4 linked regions of the Arabidopsis thaliana genome follow. The protein of the gene in region 3 interacts with the protein of the main gene of each other region in a pairwise test. Each region holds a gene or a part of one and is shown on either strand. Other genes may lie near its edges. The genes, in order: TH9, TRX1, BUD2 and NIA2.

What was found.
Region 1: the proteins of BUD2 (region 3) and TH9 interact in binary tests that used the Arabidopsis thaliana proteins (3 or more experiments, as listed by UniProt).
Region 2: the proteins of BUD2 (region 3) and TRX1 interact in binary tests that used the Arabidopsis thaliana proteins (3 or more experiments, as listed by UniProt).
Region 4: the proteins of BUD2 (region 3) and NIA2 interact in binary tests that used the Arabidopsis thaliana proteins (3 or more experiments, as listed by UniProt).

The regions. Positions count from the first base shown.
Region 1 is NC_003074.8:2,643,176-2,647,120, forward strand, and holds TH9 (thioredoxin H-type 9), read left to right. Parts: upstream 1-1,902; 5' UTR 1,903-2,234; exon of another isoform or gene 2,235-2,351; 5' UTR 2,352-2,414; coding exon 2,415-2,435; intron 2,436-2,546; coding exon 2,547-2,666; intron 2,667-2,759; coding exon 2,760-2,882; intron 2,883-2,970; coding exon 2,971-3,129; 3' UTR 3,130-3,429; downstream 3,430-3,945. Other genes in the region: UBC12 (ubiquitin-conjugating enzyme 12), read left to right, coding at 307-376, 786-916, 1,008-1,112, 1,227-1,370. UniProt on the Arabidopsis thaliana protein: Probable thiol-disulfide oxidoreductase that may play a role in intercellular communication due to its ability to move from cell to cell.
Region 2 is NC_003074.8:18,950,398-18,954,093, reverse strand, and holds TRX1 (thioredoxin H-type 1), read left to right. Parts: upstream 1-1,984; 5' UTR 1,985-2,138; coding exon 2,139-2,228; intron 2,229-2,632; coding exon 2,633-2,755; intron 2,756-2,839; coding exon 2,840-2,971; 3' UTR 2,972-3,176; downstream 3,177-3,696. Other genes in the region: AT3G51050 (FG-GAP repeat-containing protein), read right to left, coding at 9-71; RTH (RTE1-homolog), read left to right, coding at 1,034-1,300, 1,385-1,813. UniProt on the Arabidopsis thaliana protein: Thiol-disulfide oxidoreductase involved in the redox regulation of a number of cytosolic enzymes. Activates the cytosolic malate dehydrogenase (MDH) probably by reducing an interchain disulfide bond of the inactive MDH homodimer.
Region 3 is NC_003076.8:6,311,195-6,315,161, forward strand, and holds BUD2 (Adenosylmethionine decarboxylase family protein), read right to left. Parts: upstream 2,179-3,967; 5' UTR 2,022-2,178; coding exon 978-2,021; 3' UTR 531-977; downstream 1-530. Other genes in the region: AT5G18933 (uncharacterized protein), read left to right, coding at 2,193-2,253, 2,442-2,502, 2,933-2,968, 3,078-3,150. UniProt on the Arabidopsis thaliana protein: Essential for biosynthesis of the polyamines spermidine and spermine. Essential for polyamine homeostasis, and normal plant embryogenesis, growth and development.
Region 4 is NC_003070.9:14,156,612-14,162,492, reverse strand, and holds NIA2 (nitrate reductase 2), read right to left. Parts: upstream 4,042-5,881; 5' UTR 3,877-4,041; coding exon 2,832-3,876; intron 2,646-2,831; coding exon 2,505-2,645; intron 2,409-2,504; coding exon 841-2,408; 3' UTR 555-840; downstream 1-554. UniProt on the Arabidopsis thaliana protein: Nitrate reductase is a key enzyme involved in the first step of nitrate assimilation in plants, fungi and bacteria.

The sequences.
Region 1 (3,945 bases), on a different chromosome or scaffold from region 3:
CTCGAGACTGACTTGTATTCTCCGACTATAAAAAAGAAGTAGAGGGTTTTAGGCTTTTCACGAATCTCTTCTCTCTTTTGTAGTGGCCTTGAAAAAAAGATTCAATCTCCTGTTGTGGTATGTTTCTTTTGATCCATCTTTCCTTTATGTTTTCTGTTTCAACTACTTCTTAGGGTTTATCATCACTTACGTTACGTATGTATTGTTTTATTCGTCTTCCTCTATGATATGTTATGTTCTTAGTTGAATTCCTTAATACTCATTGTGTGTTGCTTATCTCGTCCGCAGGTTTTCGAGTCTAAAAGCATGGCTTCTAAGAGGATTTCAAGGGAACTGAGGGATATGCAGAGACATCCTCCAGCAAACTGTAGCGCAGGTAATCTCCCTTTTCTTGGCTGATTTTGACTGATAGATTCACACTAAAAACACTTTTAGGGTTTGATATATGTCACACTTTTATTTCATCAATCCACATTATATGTTTCTGAGTTTTTTTTGGTAACGCTATGATTTGTTAGACTCTCTTTGGTTCTGTTATATATATGTACTCTGCATGAACCTTTTTTTTTTTTTTTTTTGTATTCGAGAAAACTCGTTAAACCTTTGCCTGGTACGATTAAGAATATCCAGAGGTTTAGCTTGCTTTTATTTCAAGTGTCTCCTTTTGTACTTCTTATTTATTCTGCCAATTTGTCTCTGTTCTATAAGAAGTATCACTTGATCATGCAGGTTTTATTGTCTTTTTCGATGAATAAATGGGTCTGATTGCAACGTCTTTCTTATAGGTCCTGTGGCTGAGGAGGACATATTCCATTGGCAAGCAACTATCATGGGACCGCATGACAGTCCGTATTCCGGAGGCGTATTTACGGTTTCTATTGATTTCTCTTCGGATTATCCTTTCAAGCCACCAAAGGTGTTGTGTTTTTTCAACACTAATTTAATCATCTGATGTGTAATGAAAATCTATGATCATCAGGCTTATTAGCGAGTGTACGATTTTGCAGGTGAATTTCAAGACTAAGGTGTACCACCCAAACATCGACAGCAAAGGAAGCATTTGCCTTGACATATTGAAAGAGCAATGGAGTCCTGCTCCTACCACATCCAAGGTTTGAGTTTTGTCTCTCTACTACTATTTTTTACCAAAGTCATGTTCTGTAAAAAAAAAACTAGTATATTGGTGAACTTTGTGCGAGTGATATTGATGGTGTGGAATTATATAGGTTTTGTTGTCGATTTGCTCGCTGCTGACTGACCCGAACCCAAATGATCCTCTTGTGCCGGAGATAGCTCATCTCTACAAGGTAGATAAATCAAAATACGAGTCAACTGCACAAAAATGGACACAGAAGTACGCGATGGGATGATAAGACAAAGGTGGTCTAGACAAGGAAAGGATGTCTTACTTGGCAATGGAAATAGAAAACTGAAGAAAAAACATTTACCTTTTCTGTTTTTTGGTTAGTTTTAGCAATGGCTGCTATGATGTGACGATCATAATCGAAAGACTTTTTTAGCTGCTCTTTTTTACTTGTCTTCAGTGCTCTGATCATATTCTTATTTTTCCAATTCCATTTTAATTGGAAACTGCTATTGCAACAACCTCGTAAATTTTTTTCTTTTTTAAACTATAGAATCGTTTTAAGTCTTTACCTAAATCAATAATCTTTAATCCTCTTTAGTATTTTTTTTTTGAGCATCAACTAAACACTATGGCAAAGTCTTCAACCGTATATAATAAAGTCAATTCTTTAATAAACAATGGTACTGCAGAATTTGAGTTGCCGACAGAAAAAAAAAAGTACCGCAAATCTAAAGAATCTGTTGAAAGTACGGTTAATAATAAACAAAACAGATTTTTTATTATTTACACGAATTGATAGCTAATAAAGAGTGAGAAAAAAAACAAAAAAAAAGTGGAATGGACAGAGAGGAGGAGGGTAGAGTGGTAAATTTAGTAAGAAGGGGAAATTGGGTCTGACGCGGTCATAATGGGAGGGAGCTTCTTCTCCAATCAACGATTCTTCTAATTTGGTCTCTTCCCTCAAACACGACGACGGCGTTTTCTTTCATTTCTTCTCTCGACAATCCCTAACATCACCAGAAGAACACAAACACAATTCTTTTTAGGTACAACACAAATTCTCTTCTTCCTTCTTCGCTCTAAAATTTTCAACACATATTTTTTATGATGCTTTTAAGCGTCTGATCGTATCCGATCTCTCTTAAAGGTCCGTTTTTGCCTTTTCAGATTCTCTTAATCCGTTTCTTCTTCTCAATTTTCGTTTGTTCGTTATTAATCCTTTTCGCAATTCGATTAGCTGAAAGTTTCCCCCTTTTTTCTCCAGGGAATTGCAAAAAAAAAATCGATTTTCTATTTTCAGGCAAATTCGAATTTCCAGGACATTCAAATGGGTAGCTGCGTCTCTAAGGTATTGAAAGAAACGAAACCCTTTTGTTTGGTTTTTGGTTTTTGTCGGATTCTGTATTTGTTGGTTATGCGATGATAATGTAAAAAAATCCCTTCTTGTTTTGCTACATAGGGTAAAGGAGACGATGATTCCGTCCATAACGTCGAGTTTTCCGGTGGCAATGTTCATCTGATTACAACAAAAGAGAGTTGGGATGACAAATTAGCTGAAGCTGATCGTGATGGCAAAATCGTAATTTTTCCCTTTTTGATATTTCTCTTCTCTCATGTAGTGTTGTGTTTGTTTCTCAATCTCATGCTAATATCTTCTCTTCTCTTGAAACAGGTGGTTGCAAACTTCAGTGCGACATGGTGTGGTCCGTGTAAAATTGTGGCACCATTTTTCATCGAGCTCTCAGAGAAACATTCTTCTCTTATGTTCCTTCTTGTAGATGTTGATGAACTCAGCGTAAGTAACTCATACTCTGTATACCCATACATAGTTTCCCTTGTCTCTCTTTCAAAATCTTAAAATATGTTTGTGTGACTTTGTGCAGGATTTTAGCTCATCATGGGACATTAAGGCGACACCAACCTTCTTCTTCCTAAAGAATGGACAACAAATAGGCAAGCTTGTTGGAGCAAACAAACCGGAGCTACAGAAGAAGGTTACTTCTATCATTGATTCTGTGCCTGAAAGTCCTCAACGGCCTTGACTCTTGACTCTCGCAGCCTTGTGTTCTGAGGTCTGTTCTTGTGTCTTCTTCTTGACGGTGATCAATTGTTGTAATATGCAAAAAAAAAGGTGTGAAAGGTCACCAAAAACACTTGAGTTAGATCATCCTGTTTGATATAATAATATGCATCTTTTTCATTCAAATTACTCATTATATTATTGAATCCTCGCAATCTAAGTGTGCAAAGCAATAAGGCTCTCTCTAATTTCATTTCTTCTTTATTATCATTCTTTCACTAATGAGGAAACAATCATCCAATGCCTTTGTTTCTTGATGACATTTTGAATTTCGTTGCCACCATTGATTTCTCCTTTGTATACTTTCACAAATCTCTCAAGCAGAGATCGGGGTGAGGAGCCTGAAGTGGCCTTATGGCTAGGGATAGGGCTTGGACCGTTCCTAAACCAGATAGAACCTTAACATTACCATGACTTGATGCTAAAATATAGACCAAAAGTAAAACATACATTTGCCATCGTTAAGTTAGTCTTCTTGTTATAGTTAGTTTTTTATTATTCTGTAATTAGTCTGAGTGGATGCTAAAATATTACAAATAATTCTTCTTCAAAACAAAACCGCGAGTGAGTGTATCGATCCTAACATCTAGAGAGAGCTTTCGGCAATGGATAAGCTGCCAAGAAGAAATGATATTTAGGTAAGTTTGGCGTTTATTCAAGTCTTCACAATTAAAGATTCAGAAGAACCACTTTGACTTTGACTATGACTTGAACTTTACTCAGAGTGAAACTCGAATAATAAAACGAATGGGTCAACGGTCAATATTAGCTGCTCTGG
Region 2 (3,696 bases), on a different chromosome or scaffold from region 3:
AAAATCACCTGAAGAGTGAAGAATATAGCAAATCCAGAGAGCATCAAAATAGCCAAATCGCGTTTCCTCATCTTTGCCCTAACCGCAAGCAGATGTATCAATGGCAGATTTGCATCAGTAGGTAGCAGCAATCTCCTTACCAGAGCAGAGAGAACGATGAAGAATAGTCGACAACTTCAAAACTACGCCGTATAGATATATCAGACGTTTAATAGAATAACATCCTGACGTTTTTGTTCTCTTTGACCGAACGTTATGTCGTTTATACTACTATCCTTGAAACGGTGAAGATATCCGAGAGAGGATTAGTTTAAACAAGGAGCCAAACACGTTCTTTAGTGTCATCGTTCGTAAAATTGGGGCCGAGAGAGAAACAAAAATTTCCCAGGAAAAAGGCAGTGATTGAAGATTGTATTAGATCCGATTAATCGTCTTCCTGGTCGCTTGAACTGGTATGTATGCTTTGATCTATTCTTTATGAAAAAGTTTCGGAATCAATGTCTATGAAGATGCTTTGATGTTGACTCGTTGCTAGTTGGATTATGTATCTTTAATGGCGTTTTCTGGATCCCTCGTTCGCCATGTTCGTATGGATTCATCGTTTAGTGTTTAAGACTCGCGATTCGTAGAACTACGAGAATTGTTTACTTAGCTTTTCTATGTAGTGGTCGTAGTGTTTTAGCACAATGTGTTGATTGAATATCAATTAGACGACTCTTGTTTCAAGTTTATCCAGTAATCAATGAATTGGTAGTAGCTTGGTATATGCAAAAATCCAAAGCAGCACAGGGCTAGAAGGAGCTGCTTATCGCTTCTGGAAGGCTCAGTCCCAACTCGGACTTCCATGATGGGATGATATGCATTTATGTTTTGGGTTCGATGTAAATGATATGCATCAGCTATTCGAGTATTAAGAACAACTTTTACATATCAAATCCAAGTGCTTTATTGAATCTTACTTACATGGGGATCACTGGACGTGTTGTTTTTTGCTTACAGAGAATCAAATAATTGAGCTCAACTGGATTTGGATATGGGAGAGACAGCAACAGATTCAGAACATCGCATGATGATCGGATTATCGGATCCTATGAAAATTGATCCCAAAAGAGACCGGTTTCCATGCTGCATTGTTTGGACACCTCTTCCCTTCATTTCATGGCTGGTTCCCTTCATCGGCCACGTCGGTATCTGCAGAGAAGACGGTGTCATCCTCGACTTTGCAGGACCTAATTTTGTCTGTGTTGATAATTTTGCATTTGGAGCTGTTTCTCGATATATTCAAATCAACAAAGAAATGGTAACGTTTGCAAGATGCCGGCTTTCATTTTCAACCTTGATACAAAGTAACAATTTATTCATATTGGCCTTGGATTTGAATCAGGAGTCATCTCGTTCTTCCAGTTCTGGTATGTTCAATGGTGAGAGGAGATATGAGCAAGAAGAAGATAGTCATGAGAAAGAGCCAACATGGGATGATGCACTGAGAAAAAGCACGCAAGAGTACCAACATCACTCATATAACATACTCACATGCAACTGTCATTCCTTTGTAGCCAACAACCTGAACCGTCTATCTATAAAGTCAGGCGGATGGAACGTGGTGAATCTCGCGACACTAGTGCTTTTCAAGGGACGTTGGGTGAACAAAACGGCTATAGTAAAGTCCTTGTTGCCTCCACTCATAGTCTACACTATAGGAATCTTACTCGGTGGTTGGACTTTCATTGCCTCCTGCTCGATTCTAGTGGTTTTGCTTACCGGGTGGTTCATCATTGGAACGTATTGTTTCAAGAAACTGATTCAGCTGTAGATTTGAATCATAATGTACAAATGATGTCTACAAAATGTTTTTTACTTTTTACGATGGATATTTACAACTTTGCTTTGTGTGTGGTTAATTTGTTACAAGTAAAACTTTGAGGAGTAAAAGTGTGAATATTTATGATTTGGGTAAAGAAGGAAAGTAGCAATTGGTGGGTGTAATTATGGGAAACAAAATCACGCGTCGAATAAAGTAGAAGAGAAAAACTATTGACGGGCAAAATTGGGATTGGTAGGTGACGCGCATGCTAAGTAATTGAAAAAAAAAAAACACAAGAGGAGAAGAAACAGAACAGAGAAGAAAAAGAGAGAAGATGGCTTCGGAAGAAGGACAAGTGATCGCCTGCCACACCGTTGAGACATGGAACGAGCAGCTTCAGAAGGCTAATGAATCCAAAACTCTTGTAATCTTCTTCTCCCAAATTTCTTGATTTCATTTTGTTTTTGATGAGATATGGATTTGTTATTATTCTTGATTTGGTTTGTTTTGGGTTGCGTTTTTAAATAGAGTCTTTGATCTCTCATACTTAAGCAATGTAATGATATGATTCTTTTTTGTATGAATTCATGTTTGAATTTTATGACAATTCTTGGATCTGCATTACCATAGATTAGATCCTAGGATTGGTAGGAGATCATAATGACTTATATTACGAGTCATGTTGATAATTCTATGAAACTAAGGGATCCCTAGAAAAATGTTTACGCTGAAGATAGATGTAATGTTCACAATTCTTACGATATGATATGTTTTTAGTGTAAATGGTTTTTCAATGAAAATGATTCATGATTGGTTATATTGTTGAAGGTGGTGGTTGATTTCACGGCTTCTTGGTGTGGACCATGTCGTTTCATCGCTCCATTCTTTGCTGATTTGGCTAAGAAACTTCCTAACGTGCTTTTCCTCAAGGTTGATACTGATGAATTGAAGGTACATTCACCAACATTTTTCCCTTCTTCTTGAGAGATATTGTTTTCTTCGATCACAATCTCTTTTATGGTTTTGTTGGAACAGTCGGTGGCAAGTGATTGGGCGATACAGGCGATGCCAACCTTCATGTTTTTGAAGGAAGGGAAGATTTTGGACAAAGTTGTTGGAGCCAAGAAAGATGAGCTTCAGTCTACCATTGCCAAACACTTGGCTTAAGCTTTCCACTCTTATATATCTCTTAAGATGTTGGATTAATTGTTCTATTACTCTTGACATGTTATAACTTGTTCCCCTTTGTTATGGTTCCGGTCTATAATCTCATCTGACTATTTGAAGCTGAAAATTGCTTTGCTTATCCAGTAAATCAATTACTTTGTGACTTCAAAGTATATTTGAAAACTAATTTCTACATTATGTCCTCAAAAAAAAAAAAAATATTATGCAATGGACGTGAATAAAGAGAGAGCATTTTCTTAAAGGTGATGCTTATTCAGAAGGTCATTTGTGTTCTGAAAACGGTTCGAATATTGGACAAGTGAAGCTAGGAATTGATCATTGGCAATGTTTCGATACGGATGGCAAATATGTACAAATGAAGGATTCTGTTTCTTTCTATGTAGTATTAAATTGCAAAAGGATTTACACAAATAATAAGCTATTAAAAACAAAATCCATTTGCTACTAAGAAATATTATCAGAACGTTTAATGGAAACTCAATCTGATAAAAAAAAAATCATTTCGTCTAAGAAAAGAGAGAAATCCCTCCACGAAATCATTTTGAAAGATGCTACCGAAGCAATTGTTTATCCATAGATATCTGGTAAATAATGCACCTTAACACAAAAATAATGCAAAGCTTTGAAACATTCCATTATGTTATGGTTTTTATAATTAAGAACCCTAGCATCAATGAATACCATCGGATTCATACAAAAAACAC
Region 3 (3,967 bases):
ATCACATATTAATACTTTTAATTGGTCAGCCACAAAAAGTGTAACCTTACTTTTTTTGCCTTATGAGTTTTAGATTCATTGGATTTTAATTTTTTTAGTATGTAGTAATAGATTTTAAAATTTATTCATTCTTTGACTTCTTATGGTTAAATGTCAAACACACACATGGAGAAAAAAAAGCATTTGCCTAAAAAAAGAGCATGAGCCGCCAAGTCCTTAATATTATCCAAGTTTTTAGGGTCACAGTTTCAAGTTATGCATAATTTTAAAATTTTATTTCATTCTTGATTGTTCTATGCTTGATCTTGTTCAGTGTAGTAGTAGTAGTAGTAGATGTGATGGAGACTAGCAACAAAATGATACGACACTAAATACTACAAATGTGTAAAGGTAAAAGATGATGGAAGGTTTGCTAACTATAATTTTAACGGATTTTAAACTTGAAATACAAGTGTCGTCGACCGGCAATATTATTGTGGTGCTAATTCTGACTTGAGATATGTTTGGTAACGACAAAACATATCGAACAGTAGCTAAGGATCTTTTGAAATTGTTTTACAATATTTTTCACATCATAATTAGTTTACTTTTAAGGTGAATGAATTTGTAACCATATAAAGTAAGAACGATTAAAACCGTATATCAACAGTCTGATATATAGATTTAAGATAATTTAAATCGAAAATATAAAAAACAAACATAAGAAGAAATAAAAGAAAGACAAAAAAAAAACAGACCAAACCATTTTTACCATCCCCCACTAAAATTCTACAACACTGAACCTCAAAAATGCTTAGGCGTGACATTGCCACAAGTGCAAAGTGGGGTGCATGATCATATGTTCCCACTTAATATCCTCCTTAAACCCAAGTCAACCAATCATTTCCCTCCACGTCATTACCTGTTTCTTTTTTCTCCTTTAAGCTAATTGAAACCTAATTAAAACATTTTCTCCTTTTTTACTCCTCCGGCGAAGCCTATTTCCGACGAGGCGTGAAGGACTGATAAACGACGGTTCCGGAGCCTGGAAACTCATCCATAAGACGGCTCCGACACTTAAGATCAAGCTTCTTAGCTAACACACGCTCCACGCGCTTAGTCACCTCGTGGTTGTAATCTTCGCCGCCGTAAGTGGTGGCGATCGAGACGTCACTTGGACGGAAAACATCAATGGCCCGGCTTAACACCTCAGAGATATCTTCGTGACCGTTGTCGTAGAGAGACAAACCACACTCGAAGCTCGCGTAGCTAAAACCGTCTTCAGGCGTTACGTGGATAGTTGAGTAACGGTCACCGTCGACGCCGTTCATCGAGTAACCGCAAGGATCAAACGCGAAATCGCATATATAAGCGTTTGCGTTTATGTTATCGATACCACTGAGCCGCGTCATCTCTTTCCCGGCGGAATCGCTGTTGTTTTTCTCGTCACCTTTCCGTTTAAAGAAGCTTCGAGCGTTGACTCGGTCCAGCTCCGTCATACATACTTCGACTACGACGACATGTTCGTCGGATTCCACGTCAGCGCTTGCGGTGAACACGTGCCAAGCACGTGATGGGTTATTAGAAGGCGTCATAACAGAGGCTTTGCGGTAACAGAGAGATTTTGGGAGGCTTTCTTCGACGACGATGACTTCGTCTTTGAAGCTTGTGTAAGGGAAAGGCTGAGCTTTAGGGAAGATGAAGCTGCCACGCGAGTAGCGACACGCGCGTAACGTGAGGCCGAGGTTACGTGCGAGATGGATCAACGGTCGGATTGATTTGAGGAGTTGCGTGGTTCCACATGTTTTGATGATGATTTTGGTTGGGTATACAAAGAGGCTTGACTCTGAGAGAACGTAAGCGTCGAAGCTACGATTCGCTACGGCGGAGACCACTGTGCACTGCACTTCGTTTAAGACTTGGTCTAAAGATTCGAAGTCTATTAGACGGAGTCCCATAGGGTTTTTGGTGATTGGTTTGTCATCGTCGAAGAACCGAAGTTCGAGTCTTTTCTCGAAACCCTCGAACCCAGACACTGCCATTGCAAAGATCAGAAGAAGATGTTATGAAACAGAACAGAGGAAGTTGCAAGAAGAACACGGCAAAGGAAATGTGTTTGTGTGTGAGTAGAGAGAGAAGAGAGAGGTAGTGGTGATTAGTGGGAGAGAAGTGGTATTTATAGGAGAGGGTTTGGAGGATAGAGAAGAAGGAGCATGCGGGTTAAGAGACCAAGAATCATGATTGTAGGCATAATGAACGAGAAAGATGATGAGAGTTTGTGTTTTGTTTTGTATGTATGCGTGTATGTATCTGTGTATGTGAGAGATCTAGTTAGTGTGCGTCTGATTCTGTTCTGTATTCTTGTGTTGTTCTGTAATGAGAAGGAGTTTCATGGGTGGTTAAGCGCATGCAAATTTGGATGTTTTTTTCTATTACTTTTTATAATCAAATCTTTCTTGCAGGTGATATGTTAGTTCGATTTGATAATATCGCAGAAATGCAAAATCATGAACAACAAAAAATGTAGGATTGACGCCTTAATAATAAAACATGGTTTAACTCCTTTGACTATTATTTATTTTAAGAACTATGAAATTGTGCAAAGTATTTATTTCGGATCATTCTACTTACTGAATTAAGATATGTTTTTTTCATAAGATTTTCTTTTAAATCTTAAACTCAAAATAGCTAATTTTGAAGAATATTGTTTACATAAATTATATAAAACGGTTCGGTACGAACTTTTCGTTCCAAATTGTCTCACCATAATATGGATTAGTTAATGTGAATTTTGGATTCCATATAATTATGTTATCAGTAAAATTATATACATATAATAATCTCAAAGACATTAGTCATTCCAAATGTTAGCCATAAAATGTCTCGCTTCAAAAGCTACCAATCATATTCCTAAAAGACTGGTGACACTAATTGATGGCATTACCTTTTTTAGTGGTGTTTATGCCATCCAAAAATTTCAAGGGGAGGGGTATTTTTCCTTATATATTGTAGTAGTTGGTTTTGAAGCTGATAAAGCATATAATTAAGATAATTGGTTTAATAGTTATGTGAAATGTATATCTTTTGACTATCTTTAGGCTCTCGTACAAAAACTATCGCAGGATCGACACTAGAAGTGGAAAGGCTTGTTTAGGCTATGCTATCAACTAGGACTTCAGGATATATTATTCCATGGAGTTTATTTAAAATGTAAAACATTAACTAAAAGCTTGTGTACAAGAACAAACAAATTGACAGATACGAAATTCTTGAAGAAAGAATTTCAAAGAGTTAAATCTACTTTCACAAGTAGAAGAAACGATTTGGTTGATCGAATGAACTTGTCAATATATATCTCAATGTAATACCATATTCTTTGTTATTCCATGGATGCCAATATTTGTGTTACAAAGCTTATAATGGAAGGTTCAAAAATGTTTTGGCACACGAAATACAACACATAAACAAATAGTACCGATAGACCTTAACTTACCGATTAATTAAGCAAAAAAAAAAAAAAAAAAACTGAAAAAAGAAACCGTGTTTACAATTCGGTTACGAGGCTCTCGTACATTGGTTCCAATCACCCGTTATGTATCACTCATCATGCCAAAACAAAGTACACATGACACATCTTTACGTAGCCCATATTAAATAATATATCTGATTAGCCACACACACACATACTATATCGTGGACAAGACACAAAAGATCTTGAAAGGGCAATGGAACAAGTGTCTGCAAGAATCATCAATTTTAGTGGCTTGTGTGTCAAACAATCGCTAATGCACATAAAACTTTAAATTATTTTCTTCGTATATATGCACGTATATGTTAATATCTAATTTCATTTTCAAAAGACATAATTAGACGCAGCATTTTTTCTCTACTTGTTCTCTTTTTGTCTACTTGTTGGTGACCATAACTTGTATCTTGTAAAAATGGGTTTTGTTTTTGTTCATCGGCTTTCTCCCTTTCTTGATATAGA
Region 4 (5,881 bases), on a different chromosome or scaffold from region 3:
TTCTGTCGACATTATTTAAGTTCTTGAAGTTATGAATCGTTGATATATGATTTTATTTAGATATATATATATATATATATCGTAACATTTTCTATCGGTTTAATAGCACACTATTTTTATATAGATATGATGTTCCTTTTGGATAACTTAGAACATAACTTGTGATGCTGTATTAAAATTCTAATCCTGTAATGGAGAAGAGTTTGGATGCTAGAAACATACTTTATAAACATGTACAATTTTAATAAGAACAAATTGAATATTAACTGAAAACTCTAAAGATTCTCAAACGATTGATATATTGTTAAACTAATCACCCAAAAAGGAAGAGTCTTCTAAATTACAAGTTAATAAAACAAATGAAAAAAGTAAATTCACTCCCCCTAATCTTAAATCATATATGTGGTGAAGATTAATATAGGAACTAATGGACGAGTTTGGTTTCAACTTGCACAACAGGAAACTACTTCGCTTTGGCTTTATTCTCTTTGAAAATGATTATTGGTGTCTAATAGCTGTAGAATTTTTATTTTATTTTTTAACGACAAAGACATATGAAAAAATGAACATATTCAAATTGATATTCATAATGTGAAGTAAACGCAGAAAATTCAATGTACGATAACCTAACCACAAAAATTTCTGAAATTACTTTTTGTATATTATTGTGAAAAAAAATATCGATCGTGAATACAACGAACACATTATATTTCCAAATCCAAGACTTTAAAGAACCAACATTATATACAAACAAATCCCTCAATACTTATTTAGAATCTATCATAACACTAGGCTTTTTGACGACTTAACGTTTTGACTTTGAAATATCTTGGCTTTAGACTAGAATATCAAGAAATCCTCCTTGATGTTATATTGCATCTTCTCCAAATTCGGCTGAACCGCAAACTGAATCATCGGTGGTGGTCCGCAAGCCATGGCAAGGGCTGAGCCATCTAATCCATCAGGGATATGTTCTCGCATAATCGCCTCGGAAATAAACCCGGTACTGTATGCCCAACCTTCCTTAGCTGATTCCACTACGTACCAAACCTTTAACCGGTCCGGGTATTGCTCTGCCCAACCATCCAGTTCCTCCCTTAGGAGAATATCTTCCTCGGTCCGGTTAGCATAAATGACGTACATTTCAGTCTCATCCTCTGGATCCTTGAGAATGGCTTGGATAATTTGGTAAACCGGAGTTATTCCGGTTCCACCTGCCAACATTGCCAATTTATCAGCAAACTTTGGTTTACCGTGAACCGTGAAACTACCCTTGCCGAGATACTCAACGTGACCCAATGGTCCTTTAATCTCCAAAGTTGACCCTATAGGCAAAGAGTCTAGGTACTGAGACATGAGCCCGCCGTTAGGGAATCTTGGGTGGACACCGCCAAAGTAAATCTTGACCACGAGCTCGAAGTAGCCAACCACATCAACGGTGCTGCTTGGTGTGTAAGCTCTGAGGCAGAGCTTGTCATTGATGGTGGCGCAAAGGAAAATGTGCTTACCAACCGGTAAGCCTAGAACCATATCCTCAACCGGTAAAGCAAACCGGAATTTACGAACATCATGAGAAATGGAAGTCTTTTCGACGAGTTGAACCGGGACTTTAGCCCGGGGATTAACCAAAGCGAGGTTCCTAACCGGAGTCGCCTCTCCAATGGGAGCCAACAGCGAGAACACGGCGGATGAACCGTGAACCGAGTTGTTAGGCGAGGAAGAGTCAGAGGAATAACCAGTGGTGATGAGCTCACCGATACGGTAATCCTCAAGCATCTTCTTGGCTTTATCCGAGTGAATGGCTTCAAACTCCTCCGTACAATCCGTACCAGCATTGATCAAGATTGAATCCGAACCACCCGGGTGATCCATAAGGAATCGTGTACAATCATAGATATGTCCATGGACAATGATCCAGCAAGAGTCAGCCGAATTATGCTTCTTGACCTCGGACATCGAGTACATCTTCGCAGTTGTGTTCATAAACGGCGTCGAGACAGACTTCTTTAGACTAGGAGGCGCGTCAGCCGATTTTTCGAGGTGACGTTCCTTCGCCATCCATCCACCAGATTCATTACCAGGAAGCGTTGGATGCTCGAACACAATCCCAATCTCTCCCTTGTGTGGCTTGCACACGTTAGTCTTCACTCTAAACCAGCAGTTATTCATCATCCCCATGAGATTCCATATCATTTTCTCGGGCTGCGTGTTGAGAGTCTCGTCCCATGCACGAACAGCAATCTCTTTGGCACTAAGCAAGTCCAAAACCTCAACCTCAAGTGACCAAAAACACCAACACCAGAACTTCCCATACTTGTTTGGCTTCTCTTGATGGTCAAGTGCACATACGTTCCATGTCTCTCCACCATCTACCGTGACCTCCACACGGGTCACTTTTTTTCCACCTCCTGTTTTTTTTTGTATAAAGATTATTGTTACTATTAAATTAAATCATCCTATGAAATAACGTATTTATTAAATTAAAATGTTAAAAGGACAAGTACCGGAATATGCGTAACCCTTTAAAGTATAAGGTCTTTGGGTTGTGAAAGCGTTGATGGGAAGAATCTCCTCGTGACATGGCGTCGTAATCACGGAGTTTATGTTTAGCTCGTTGATTATGTACTCTGGCTTATACCACCAACCTAAAACAAAACCATTGAATTTGAATTTATGTAAGTCACAGAAGCTGACATCATCCACCAACATTAGTTTTTCATTTTTTAATATGATTTCTGTTTTTGTTTTTCTCCTATAGGTTCGGAGACTTTTTAAACATATCAATTAGTTCATCTTAATGAGATTTATTGAAGCAAAAAGATTTTATGTACCTTCTTCGTCGGCGAGTTCGGCGTCTACCAAAGAAGGTAAAACTCTGTTGTCCTTGAAATGGTAGAAATTGTCGGATTCTTTAGTTGTGACAATGATTCGTTTCAACCATTTAACCATCCGGCCACCAATGAAACCGGGGATGATGATCCGAACCGGAAAACCGTGGTCTGGTGTTAGATACTCTCCGTTTTGCATATAAGCCAAAATGATGTCTCTTGATGGATCCATGGCATATTCCTTCTTGATGCTCGTTCCGTATTTGGAACCAGCAGTTCCGGCACCGCCCGGAAGATCCTCCGACCCTTCGAAGCAGACGTTGAGAGCGCCGCCTTTTCGGCTAAAGATCCCGCAGCGACGCAGTACGTCGCAGAGAGGGACACCACGCCACACGGAGGTGGAAACTCCGGCGGATCCCCAGTTGAATCCCTTTGACTTCTTCACCATGTTCTGTTCCTTACGGCGGTTCCCCGCGCAGACTAGCGTCGCGGCGAACTCGCGGTAAGCAAACTCGGAGACGAGCTGGTCCATGGTGAATTTCATGGGCCGTTTGACGAATCCGGTCACCTCGACCGTCCATTCGGCCCATTGGGCTTTAGGGACGTGGCCGTGGTTACGAACGTAGTGCAACGGGACAGGGGTGATAAACCCGTGGTGCATTAAACGGTTAAGAGGCGCCTCGGAGTTGAAGGGATGTTTCCCTGTGAGACGTACCATGGAAGGGTTACGCTCGATCCAGCTATCAGCCGTGTATTCGTCCCTCGGGTCCAAAACGGACGGTTCAAGCTCGGCGTTGGATTTTCTTATCATCTCCTTGTAGTACACGGCGTTGCTGTTGTGTGTCTCGTTCTCGTCTTCGCTCGACACGTCTTCGTCATCGTCATGAACCTTGGCTGGTTTCAAGAACACGGTTTGGTTGGTGGTTTGGTTCTGGTGCGCCTTAGGGGAATCGGACCGGCCTGGAACGGGAGGTTTGTAAGAACGAACCACGCCGTTCAAACCTGGCTCGAGACGAGCGTATTGGCGATTATCTACAGAGGCCGCCATGTTGGAAAGTGTATAATCGTAAATAATGTAGAAAGCAGAGCCTTTTTCTCTCTCTATCTCTCTCTTGTGAGTGAGATGAGATCTGAGGACGAAAATGCATCGTTGGTGGAGATGAAGTTATATAGGAGAGAGCCTAGTGGTATGCTTTTAGGAAGTATCGTGCCGAATCACACGTATGGGACCATTTGTGACTTTTTAATTTTTTTCTTACACACTTACTATTAATTTTTTCTTATGACTTGACTTAATTAAATAAACCATCCATTTGTTTGACAAAAATAAACGATCATAGTTATTCAATAAGCTTAAAATGATCATTTTTGTCCCTATTTGTTATAAAACAAATGTGAATTGTTGGAGTAGTTTTGTAAATACTTTTAACGTCTCGGAAACATGTATAGATTTTTTTTTGTCAACTAAGAAATGATGACAATTGAATAATATATTATTATCTATCATTGGTTATTTCCTGTAATACAATATAAAAATGTGATCAAAACATTTTCCTTTTTATTTTAGTCGAATTTGTTTTACTAAAAAATATGTTTTCTTATTCGTGACACAAAGCCGTATTTATTTTTAATGGAAAAATAACGATAAAAGATGACAAAATAATTAAGAGCAATAAAATTAGTAATACAAAAATCGTGGTGATAATATTTTCATACTATTAATTTTAATAGTTTTTGTGATCGGTAACTATTAAAACCGTATATATATATATATATATATATATATATATATATATATATATATATATTTTGTAAACCGTATATTTTTTACCAGTAAATTAAAGAATTATCAATGTGTTAACATAGGAAGAACGTTCCTTTTATTATTGAGATTTGATAATCCTTTTACCCCTGGTTCTAGTTTAGAAGTTTATCAATGTTCTTATATCCTTCAGTTAAACATAGGAACAACGTTCCTTTTATTCTTGAGATTTGATAAATCAATTAAACATATTATCAGAAAAAATCTAATAATCATACAATATTTATTTTCTTATTAAACGTTATTTTCAGTAATATTTTCTTATTAAACTGTTTTTTAGTAATATTTTTTTTTGATAAAATTAACAGATGTGATTTTCAGCAATATTGATGAGATATTAATTATTGAGTAATCTAATTTTTTGTATACATTATTATAACCTAAAATAGTTCCTTGAATCATCTAAAAGTTTAAAATACCTATGTATGAATGTTGGAAAATGAAAAAAAAAAAAAAACTGAATGATGGAAAATGATCACGTTCATCTTTTTCCTTAAAATAACTACAAAATTATTTCTCTTTTTGATCAAGATGCAACATTACAGCCACCTATATATTAGTATTACTGTTATTATTGTTTTTCTTCGGAAAGAATGGCGGTGACTAATCAAAACCGACGGAGCCACGGGTTCAGCAGATTCAGTGGGTAAATCTTTCTTTATTTAAGACTTTTTTTTGTTGAAAATTTCATTGAGTAAATATTGAATATTGATTTTCTTGTGAACTTCTAATTTTGGGTAACCAATATACATCTTTATTTTTTTTATATATATATATATATATATACTTCTTCTGTTATAATATATAAGATATTTCACTAAAAAGACAAAGTTTAAGATATTAATTAATATTTTTACATTAAAAAACATATTTTGATATTTAATTAAAGAGAGTTTGCTAATGAATTTTTTACTGCAGAATAAAAATTTATCTTTTGAGATGTGAGATGAAGATTAAATCTGTGAAAGAAAAAAAAGTAAAAAAGACAGTTTAAGTTTAAATCATATGGTACTATTTATATTATGTTTAAGTTTTATACTTTAAAAAGGAACATGAAAATTTAGTTGATTTCAAGTTTCCACTTTATTTTTTTTTATGCTAACCTTTCATGTTAAAGTGTCAAACAATGAAAACTAAATTTGTTGCGAAGACTATTACTATCCATACAACAATTTCTATTTCATAGCACAATTTCTTAAATAAGACTACTTGCATATAGCAGTTTCAATAT